Linked DNA regions of Nothobranchius furzeri. The protein of the gene in region 1 purifies or fractionates together with the protein of each later gene. This does not show direct contact. Links are inferred from orthologs where the notes say so. Each region holds a gene or a part of one and is shown in the gene's direction. Other genes may lie near its edges. The genes, in order: nedd1, c16h10orf88 and cct7.

Region 1 (3,702 bases):
CATGTGATTTTAGTTGTGTTGTTATTTACAGGAACTAAAGCTAAAATGAGAATGGGGCAGCTTCCTGAGTTTTTGTTTTTGCCAAAATGAAGGTAACATCGTCATATGCATACATTTTAAATTTGACATTAACACATGAACACGGGCAGATCTTTGATATAATAACAGATGGGCCAAGTGTTGACCCCAGAGGAGCATCTATAATGCAGACATGCTGTCTCTTGGTATATAAATATGTGACTTCATCAACTGAAGTGTATCTAAACAAAGTTATAAGAAACTAATTTAGACAGAAGAATTTCTTGATATACTGAGTCAAATGTATTTTTATTTGTAGAAATACTGCACCAAAACATACACCGGTGTCTAACATTTGTTTAATCTTTTCTATAAACGGGCAGTTTGTGAACTCTGTGGAATGATTTTCTCAGAAAGGGGAACATGTGTGTCTTTGATTTGTTGTTTTCGATGTGGGGATTGTTTTTGTAAATCACATAACTTGATTGTTCTGTTTGATCATTGGAAATTTACAAATAAAGCTACAGGTTTGGCTGTAAGTGCAGCTCTAAAGAGTCCAGTGATTAAAAATAAACGTTCATTCAGTGTGAGAAGTGGGGGGAAAAAAGCTAATTTTAAGCATCCAGCCATTTTCCACAACGACGGTAAAGTAAAACTGAGGTTTCTGTTGTGATGAGATAAAAAGCGCTTTTATTGGTTCCGGTGGGGTTTTGTCCCTTATGGTTTTCCGTAGTGGCGGTTCCTGTTGGACGGAGCGTCAAATATCAACATCTTCATCTTTTTACAGGATTATTTCTGGCTGCAGGTTTGTAACATCCTAGTTAAACATCAGCTTGTAACATTTCTAACTAGTTTAATCTCGTTTGGGTCACTTTCCCGGCTGGCTTGTGGCTGTTCGCTAACTTTAGAGCCGCCTAAGCGCGCTGTTAGGTAGTTAGCGTTAACTCACAACAGCTGCTAGTCAGCCTTTACTCGCCAACTAAAGCGGGTTGAAACTAGTCCAGCTGTTTCTGTCAAAGCGATTACAGAAACATGGTATTGGGTCGAAGAGTGGAAGAAAAAAAAAGGAGTTTCAAACCGAACGGCTCCTGAGCTCCTAACCTAGTTTATAAATTCCTCTAAATATTAGTTATGTTATAAATACTAGGCAAAATGTACTAAAGTCATCTAAAAACTAGTTGATATTATAAATACTAGGCAAAATGTACTAAAGTCATCTAAATACTAGTTATAAATACTAGGCAAAATGTACTATAGTCATCTAAATACTAGTTATAAATACTAGGCAAAATGAACTATAGTCATCTAAATACTAGTTATGTTATAAATACTAGACAAAATGTACTAAAGTCATCTAAAAACTAGTTGATATTATAAATACTAGACAAAATGTACTATAGTCATCTAAATACTAGTTATAAATATTAGGCAAAATGTACTATAGTCATCTAAATACTAGTTATGTTATAAATACTAGACAAAATGTACTAAAGTCATCTAAAAACTAGTTGATATTATAAATACTAGACAAAATGTACTATAGTCATCTAAATACTAGTTATAAATACTAGGCAAAATGTACTATAGTCATCTAAATACTAGTTATGTTATAAATACTAGACAAAATGTACTAAAGTCATCTAAAAACTAGTTGATATTATAAATACTAGGCAAAATGTACTACAGTCATCTAAATACTAGTTATAAATACTAGACAAAATGTACTATAGTCATCTAAATACTAGACAAAATGTACTAAAGTCATCTAAAAACTAGTTGATATTATAAATACTAGGTAAAATGTACTATAGTAATCTAAATACTAGTTATATTATAAATACTATATAAAATACACTATAGTCATCTAAATACTAGTTATATTATAAATACTAGATACATTGTACTATAGTAATCTAAATACTAGTTATATTATAAATACTATATAAAATATACTATAGTCATCTAAATACTAGTTATATTATAAATACTAGATAAAATGTACTATAGTAATCTAAATACTAGTTATATTATAAATACTATATAAAATATACTATAGTCATCTAAATACTAGTTATATTATAAATACTAGATAAAATGTACTATAGTAATCTAAATACTAGTTATATTATAAATACTATATAAAATATACTATAGTCATCTAAATACTAGTTATATTATGATAACTAGATACAATGTACTATAGCAGGGGTGGGCAATCCTGGTCCTCGAGGGCTGTTATCCAGCATGTTTTAGTTGTTTTTCTTTTCCAACACACCTGATTCCTGGATGAATCACCTGTTCAGCAGCACACCAGACTCTGCAGCAGCCTGTTAATCACCAGGTAGATTCAAACCAGGTGTGTTTAAGCAGAGTAGAAAAAATTGGCCCTATATATTGGCTAAAACTAGTTATACTATAAATACCAGTTTGTGTACAGTCAATGCCAGTAAATTACCAGCATTATTTTTGAATTTGTTACTGAAAGTCAGAATTTATTTAGACTTTGTAATAATAACACATTTCTATTTATTTGATGACAGAAAAAAGACCAAATACTTCCTGTTTGGTTTCAGTTAAAATCAATGAGGAGAGGGCTGATGCTTAAATTAACACACACACACACACACACACACACACACACACACACACACACACACACACACACACACACACACCACACACACACACACACACACACAACGTCTGCATCAAAAAAGCTGTTTACTTTGTGAAACGATTCAGGAGTGTAATTATTTGTACTTATTTTGCCTCCAGCTGCTGCCATGGAGGAGGCCACATGTCTGGTGTCCACCGGAGACTGCGTGAAGATCTGGGATGCTGTTTCCATGGCACCACTGGAGCAGTTTAACCCACACAGCAGCAGCCATCCTGTCGCTCAGGCCTGCTGGAGCTCCAACAGTATCCTGATTTTAGTTTGTAGGTGGAGTTGGGGACCAGCCCCTGTCAGCGTGTTTCTGGTTCTGATCAAACAAGGATGGCGTTTCAGGAGGTTCCAGCCCAGCCCCGCCCCTAACCTGACCTCCGTCCTCTTGAGTTTACTGTTTGCTCCCAACCTGCCAGCTGTAGATTACACTTCGTGTGTGTGTGTGTGTGTGTGTGTGTGTGTGTGTGTGTGTGTGTGTGTGTGTGTGTGTGTGTGTGTGTGTGTGTGTGTGTGTGGCAGCACAACAGCAGTGATTCCCAACCAGGGGTCCGTGAGCGCATTACGGGGGTACACGGAAAAATTCATATTTCATTACGCAAATGATAACACTCGCCCTGGTTAAAAAAAAAACAAACATAAAAAAAACATTGGGCTAGGATGTGTTATGCTTAAACAGCAAATCACCCCCAAATCAACTTCTTTTTCTGATAAACTATATAAATGTGTGTAATCGTGCTGCAGACACGTGTAGTCAATAGTTTTGCACTTTAGTGCATTTTAGTAGAAATTTTAATTTTCTGCCTAAAACTGTCAGTGTTGTGCCGTTGTCAGGTAAAAACTCTGCACTGCATTTGAATTTAAATCTGCCATCACTATTGGCTAAGAGGTACACTAGAACGTTAGCTGGTACCATATGATGTCACAATGTCATTGTGAGCCTGTGTGTGTGTTTGTTAGCGGCTCCGCCCTCTCGGTCTGCTAGGCAACAGTATTTGTTGCATTTTTCAAACAGGAAGTGG
Region 2 (3,657 bases), on another chromosome or scaffold:
AGCAATACCCAAAGTGAGTCATCATCCGGCGAGGTGGGGTTGTCTCCCTGCTCCTTATAAGCACAGACCGGTGATTGAGAATCTGCTGCAGCTGCCCGCTCCTCGGCTCCACCCACCTGCAATCGAGCACTCACACAGGTTATGGTAGAACCACTCACCTCAGATCCTGACAAGAATGTCTTGATGACATTTGCATCCAGTCATTGATGGAAAATGAAATAGAAAAAAACATTTTAACCAACTGATTCAGTTTTGTTTTTCATTTAGAAAGATTATTTTACTGAAGCTTTATCAAAATTATTTTGCATCTGCTGCTTTTGTTTCTCTCTTCTTGTAAGAACATCTGTGTGGGCAAAGTACAAAAGTCAGTATTCACCATGATTCATTAATGGAGAAACTGGTTCATCCTTTTTGTTTGGAAGAATTTTTTCCGGAATGTTTCAGAGTTTCTTGGCTTTCTTGGTACAAAGCTGCCAAAGTCAAAAGCACAGCTTTGAGACATCTTCAGGCACGGTACTGAACTAGTGCAACTATAGATATGACTTGAGCTGCTCAGATCTCAGGTTCTGAAATAAGTTTCTGTTTTGAAATGAACCTGGTTTGTCGTTTTCCAACTCTGCCAGAAAGGAAACCACTGTACTGTTTCTATCAGTAATTACAAGTACAACACATTATGACATTTGAATTTCAGAAGCTAAATTTTGATCTTCAGAAGTCAGAGTAAAGATTTCTGGTAACCATTTAAAGTTTGATGAATGAAATTAAAGTCAGAAAATATTTTTTTTATTTAATTAAAATACCTATGATGTGATTGATTACTAAAATTAAGGTAGTTGTATAACTAAATAGAAAAAAATTGGCAATTGCTACCTCCAGTATTTAGACCCTCTATCAGAGGGCAGGAAAGATGTATAGTTTTATTCAGCTACTTTTTGATTAACATCAATCTGTTTAATGACTGAGCTGCAAGTTTCTAAGATATAAGATTTTCTGACATTCTAAATAAAAGCAGCAGCATCCAGTAATGTGTACTCAACAGATTTTAAATTTGTCAGTGAAGCTCTGCAGCTGCTTAAATTTAACTTAACAAATTCACAATCTGGGATACTTAACAACTTTTTCGTGTTTTTAAATGATTTTCTTGAGCCAGTATGTGCTAAAATGAGCTTTTACAGGGTTAATGACTAGCCACCCAGACCATAATGCTCCCTGGGGCCATGATATTCCACTTGCAACTTCAGAGTTACCGGTCTGGTCTGTTGGACTTAGAAACAATTGAGTTGACATACCTGGTGCTGCAGTCTGGTTCCAGCATGTTCCTGCATGTTTTAGATAGCACAGCTGATTGGTTTAATGTAGTGATGAATCACTCCTGTAGACACTATTGAAGGCTGTGGAGACATTTCAGCTGTTAGATGAAGGTGTTACAGTGACCAACGGTTTTGTTTTTTGTTCTGCTAACTGACACGAGGGGGTGCTAAAAGCAAGCCAAAACTGCAGAGTTATCCCTTTAAATGCACACAGAACTTTGTCTTGTTATTGTAATATAAATGAAATGTTTTGGCTATTTTTCTGTCTGTAGTCCCCAGACTGCATCAGGCCTGCAGACTTACCTGCAGCTCAGAACGGAGGGATGTCTGAGGGCTCTACATCTCCAGACCTCTCCCTGTCCGACCTCAGCACCAACAATACATGTAGGTATCATCACATTGGTTATGATGCTTCGTAATGCAATAAGGTGGAGAGTTTAACATTTTCGACACAAGTCACACATTAGGATGCAGAAAAAGACGAGGATGTATCCACGTCAAAAAAGCGTTTGATCTTTCACCCTGAAAAATAAATCAAATCTAATATTTCTGCGCCATGTACAACATTCTTACAAAATCAGTAATATTTTACCTAGACCCGAATTTTGCTTTACTATGTAACAACATAATCATCTAAATATCTTGGAAACAATAAAGGAAAGGTAAAGACAGAATTATCTAGTGTAGCGTTTAAATTTACATATTATTTAATGAACCATAAAATGTGAGATTCCATAGGAAAAATGAAATCAATCTTATGGATCTTTGGATAATTTAAACCAGAAGATTGGAACTTTTTATTGCAGGGATTATGTAACCACTTCGTATTAACTCAGAGACAAAAGAAAGAGTCAAGTTTTAAAGTTAAGAAGATTTATTACTACACAATTTAAGACTAGACTAACTTTAAATACTAGGTGTATGGTGTAACTAAGGCGAAGTAAGACTGAGGATGGTGTATGTGTGAAATATGTTCAGAACCAACAAATCCGGAGAAACGATTAGTTCTGATGGGAGTGAAGATGATGTTTTCGCTCTAAGCTTTAGGTTGGAGATTATAACACACTTTGGGACGCCATTCTGTCGGTCTACGTACCCTTTGCGGAAGTCCCCGTTAGATCAGGAATGTCGAGGTCCAGCTTGACCTTCTCTGGAACCGAAGCTGGTAGAAAGGCAGCGGTTGCCGACCAGACCAGTCTTGAGATACTTCCGGGTCACGACAGTTTATTGGCATCTAGCGAGACCCAAAAAGGGGTCGTGATGGTTCAGCTTTTATTCTGAAAGGAACCGTTGCAGCAGGTGGAACATGCAACAGATTTAATCCAGCTTGTCGTTAAGTTCTTTTGGCTTTAAGAGGAAAGTTACGGATGGCCACTCCGATAACTTCTCTAGAACGCTTTGAACTGAAGTTAAGATGACGTGGGCATAGTTTTATGATGTGGATGTTTTGATTTACGGTCAAATCATAAAAGGACAACAAGAGGGGATGTACCAAGCACCAACAAAACCACGCCTCGTGTCAGATCTGGAAGGTTCTGATTGGATCAGAAAAAGGAAATGTGTCATGTGACTTTAAGCATTACGTGGATGAGAATGTCTAGTGCAGCAAGTTTAAAGTTATATTACTTATTAAAATACTACTGATCATAAACATTGTCATTTCACAGATTGGTTCACATTTTATTATTGGGCTAACACTTTGTTTGATTAGCTTATTAAAAATAGAGAAAGAGTTCTTTGATTTATTAATATTTAAAGGGAAAGAGTTCTGTCTTCTTCCTTCTTTCTTGTGCTGTTCGGAGAAGCAACAGTTTAGATAAAAGCAAAGCGTGAGTGGCCTTGGCCCATATCTTGTGGAATAGGCCTGTGTCAGTAACTTATGGTTTTGCTTGGGCAGAGCAAATAGAGCAGGGCCTTTTAGGTCCGAAATGGACAATTCATCACGCTATACTAAAAATAAATTCCTGAACCAAAATTCAGATTTTACTTAAAAACTCGTCATCAAGCATTCTTCATGTGAAAGCTGTCGGAAAAGTGCCTGAATATGTCTAAGTCACTGTTTGTTTTCTATCGTTTACATGCGCACAGAAAGTGTTTTTATGTAGAAGAAGAAAATATCATTTCTATACCGCCTCTCAAGATAAAAATCACGAGGCGCTTAAGTAATGTAAGCTGGTTAATGAGTTAGGTTTTTGGATGTCTCTTCTTCAGGGGTCTGTAACCTACAGCTCTGGAGCCACATGTGGCTCTTCAGCCCTGATGTAGCTTCTTGTAGCATTGACCAACAACAACTTGAGCCTGAGTTATTTTTACATTTAAACAACAGTAGGAAATGGGAATTTTCCAG
Region 3 (3,757 bases), on another chromosome or scaffold:
CTCCGCGTTCACGCAGATCCTCTCCCCCCACGGTCCGCAGCTGAACACCACCACCAGCTGGACGGATGGAGGAACTGCAACAGAAACTCTGCACGACCCGTCCGCACTGACATGAAAAAGGACACACACACACACACACACACACACACACACACACACACACACACACACACACACACACACACACACACACACACACACACACACACACACACACACACACACACACACACACACACACAAATGAATCAACTGAGTATTTTACCAGAATGTTTCATTGTACACTGTTCCTAAATGGGGTAAATGCATGAGAAACAGTAACAGACTCTAATGTTACGATAACAGTATGTTTCCTACCTCAGCAGCCTTTGAGGCGGACCGTTTACTCCAAAAACTGCATAAACTCCAAACTCTTCCATTCTTAAAGCTTTCTTTTTATGTTTTTTCTAATTAGTTGTAATTTAAACACAACTAATAACATAAAACAGCTTCTCCCGCCACCAATAGGTGTACGGTTTCTAAACGACGCGCGAATTCTGGGTAAGACATTATAGGCGCGCGTTTTAATAATTGGCGTCTCCCATGAAATTTGCAAGTAGGGTTAAAGTGAATGCCCCGCCCATGCTGCACATTGTTCTTTGCAAATCAAGCGCTCTCCAGACTTCACTGACAGACGTAAAAGCTACATTCAAAGACTGTATGAAATGTTAAGATTTTGACTCGGCGAATGACATTTTAATTAAGTCCGTTTTGATGACCCAGAAATACGGAAGAATATCTGAAAATTATTAATGAATTAAATGTATTTTAATATGTATTTATAGCAAAAAAATTACAGGCAACTTTACTTCGGAGGAAGAGTTAAACGGGAATCCGAGTCGTCGTGTGCTCTTGAATGCACTCCATCGAAAAGCATTATGGGTTGGGAAACCGGTGGAATAGCTTCTCGAAAGAACTGCGAAGATGATGGTGAGTGTGCTTTAGCTTTGTAGCCGCGGAATCATCTTATAATCCGTGCCCATCCTTTAGTTTATCAGACACGATGAACATCAGGAATGTTTTATCTGATAATGCACACTGTTAGCCGTGTTTAAAAGGTGTTATTGCGTAGAAATAATCTGAAAGAAGCTGTTATTGTTAGCCATTCACTGCTAGCATCTTTGTAATCAATGGGCGTTTATGACGGATGCTAAGGGCGATGTCAGGTTTATAGTTTAACGTATAATTAGACAAAGATAGTTGCATATTTTTTAAGTGCTACGCATTTATTTGAGTATAAATGGACGCATTACGCATTTATTTGAGTATAAATGGACGCATATTAGTTCATGTTAGCTTACCAACATATGATTGAACCAAAGCCATCTCTTGTTAAGATGTAGCTGCTCATTTTGGTCGTTTTAATTAAATCAACAGTGACAGCTGTTGTCCAGGTTTTGCTGCATGCTTGATGGTATTAAACCATCACGTTAGCTTAAGCAGCATCCGTTTGTTCCCTTATTTGGTTAAATGCTGGTTATTGTGGATTTGATGTCTCTCTGGTGTTGACATGAAATTATATCTGATATTGAATTTTTATTTATGCTCTGATGTGACTGCAAACATGATCAGCACCACTAAAAAGAAACCCGCCAAATTAAACCCTCACAGATGAAATTTAATCTTTATACCTGAACGTAAACAAGACTCACTTTTTATAAGATAGATCTGTCCAGGCAGCACCAGGACGCGAGTGATCATGGAGATGGATGCCTTTCTAGTTGATCTGGTTTAATGTTTTTGGCTTCGTCCCGCAGCCCACACCGGTTATCCTGCTGAAGGAGGGGACAGACACGTCTCAGGGCATTCCCCAGCTCATCAGCAACATCAATGCCTGTCAGGTCAGAGGAAGTTGCTCTTCTTTTTCCACATTTGGGTGAACTGAGGTTTTGTTGCGGTCTCTTCTCCCTCAAAACTAAAGTCATCTGTACTGTAGATGTCTCTGACCCTGAACTATGCTTCAGTCTCTAAATGTAGGGTTCTGTTTTCTGCTGCAGGTGATCGCTGAGGCTGTCCGGACCACTCTGGGGCCCAGGGGCATGGATAAACTCATGGTGGACAGCAGAGGTGTGAAGACGTCAGATAAAAATGAGAAACATGTTTAGATTTCAGCGTTTTAGTCGACCGAGCTGATTAATGTTTGTATTTTTTTTAGGTAAGGCAACAATTTCCAACGACGGCGCCACCATCCTGAAGCTCCTGGATGTGGTTCATCCTGCAGCCAAGACGCTGGTGGACATCGCTCGCTCCCAGGATGCTGAGGTGAGATTTGTGTTCGTCAGCGATGTCTAAATTCTCATCGTCTCGGACTGACTCGTGTTTTTTCCTCTCAGGTTGGGGACGGCACCACATCCGTCACTCTCCTGTCCGCCGAGTTCCTGAAGCAGCTGAAGCCGTACGTGGAGGAGGGTCTCCACCCTCAGACCATCATCAGAGCTTTCCGCACCGCCACCAACCTCGCCGTCAGCAAGATCAAGGAAATCGCCGTCTCCGTGAAGAAAGATGACAAGCAGTGAGTGCTGTCCTCTGGTGGCGAGGTGTCCGTCCATGGTATGAGGTTCGATCCTAAATGTCACGTTTCTTCTCAGAGAGCAGAGGCAGCTGTTGGAGAAATGCGCCGCCACCGCCCTGAACTCCAAGCTGATCGCCGGTCAGAAGGGGTTCTTCTCCAGAATGGTGGTGGATGCCGTCATGTCTCTGGACGAGCTGATGTCTCTGAAGATGATCGGCATCAAGAAGGTCCAGGGAGGAGGCCTGGAGGTTGGTGTTTGCTGTTCAGTTTCACGTGAAAGTCAGGAGGAGGAGTTTACTCATGAGTGGACCAGATCACCTGTGGACAGGTGTAGACGTCCCAACCTTCACCCAAACGTTCCACAGCTATGAAGCTAAAGGAAGCAGGCTTTATTTTCTTCAGAAGAGCATCTGATCTTCACCTGTCTGTCTCCGTTAAATGTTTGCACCGTCGCGTTCCAGTCACCACTGGGTTTTTATTAATGGGAAGGTGAAGACGGCTGTGTCTGAGATTGAGGAGGAGCAATGTGGTTTTGGTTCTGGCCGTGGAACTGTGGACCAGCTCGATACCCTTGCAAGGGTGATGGAGGGGGCATGGGAGTTTGCCCAACCAATCCACGTGTGTTTAGTGGATTTGGAGAAGGCTTATGACCGTGTCCCCAGGGGCCAGTGGCGGTTCTACATCGAATTACTCCCCGGGCGAGGCCCCCTTTGAGCGCCCCCCCCAACCCCCCCCCCCCCCCCCCCCCACCACCACCACCACCACCACACCACCCCACCTGCATGAACACACGCATGTTTTCTACAAACAGGCATGTTTTATTAGAACGACTATTGAACATTCATTTTTCTAAGTTGCACATATTTACATTAATTACTATGAAGTTGTCAGAATGTAAAGCACTATACATTATATACTGTATCAAAATATATAGAATCAAATATACAAAAACAAACAATAACTAAATATTAAGAATATATGAACATAATAGATAATAAATATTCTAAATAGCAAAAATATTTCACACATAACAAACTAAAGATAATCACTACAGCATTGCACTTAGAACAGAAAACACAAACTAAAATTAAAACCTAACCTTGATGCAACATCATCAATAATGTCATCACATGAAATCTGCTCCCCTACTGAGTGATTGATACTAATCAGAGCCAGGTTAGTGAGCCGCCCCTGAAACATAGGTGA

Evidence for each region.
Region 2: the proteins of nedd1 (region 1) and c16h10orf88 purify together in Homo sapiens (co-immunoprecipitation; 3 studies listed by BioGRID and IntAct, counting the BioPlex papers as one, with this or other methods). This does not show direct contact. The link is inferred for Nothobranchius furzeri from reciprocal best matches to the Homo sapiens genes NEDD1 and C10orf88.
Region 3: the proteins of nedd1 (region 1) and cct7 purify together in Homo sapiens (affinity purification with mass spectrometry; 3 studies listed by BioGRID and IntAct, counting the BioPlex papers as one, with this or other methods). This does not show direct contact. The link is inferred for Nothobranchius furzeri from reciprocal best matches to the Homo sapiens genes NEDD1 and CCT7.

What each region holds. Positions count from the first base shown.
Region 1 is NC_091744.1:80,535,707-80,539,408, forward strand, and holds the start of nedd1 (protein NEDD1), read left to right. Parts: upstream 1-751; 5' UTR 752-823; intron 824-2,793; 5' UTR 2,794-2,801; coding exon 2,802-2,937; intron 2,938-3,702. UniProt on the Homo sapiens protein: Required for mitosis progression. Promotes the nucleation of microtubules from the spindle.
Region 2 is NC_091756.1:51,775,029-51,778,685, forward strand, and holds part of c16h10orf88 (ATPase PAAT), read left to right. Parts: intron 1-1,582; coding exon 1,583-1,694; intron 1,695-3,657. UniProt on the Homo sapiens protein: ATPase that regulates mitochondrial ABC transporters ABCB7, ABCB8/MITOSUR and ABCB10. Regulates mitochondrial ferric concentration and heme biosynthesis and plays a role in the maintenance of mitochondrial homeostasis and cell survival.
Region 3 is NC_091754.1:61,256,003-61,259,759, forward strand, and holds the start of cct7 (T-complex protein 1 subunit eta), read left to right. Parts: upstream 1-845; 5' UTR 846-963; coding exon 964-969; intron 970-1,796; coding exon 1,797-1,880; intron 1,881-2,036; coding exon 2,037-2,106; intron 2,107-2,194; coding exon 2,195-2,301; intron 2,302-2,372; coding exon 2,373-2,551; intron 2,552-2,627; coding exon 2,628-2,799; intron 2,800-3,757. Other genes in the region: krcp (kelch repeat-containing protein), read right to left, coding at 1-106, 358-419. UniProt on the Homo sapiens protein: Component of the chaperonin-containing T-complex (TRiC), a molecular chaperone complex that assists the folding of actin, tubulin and other proteins upon ATP hydrolysis.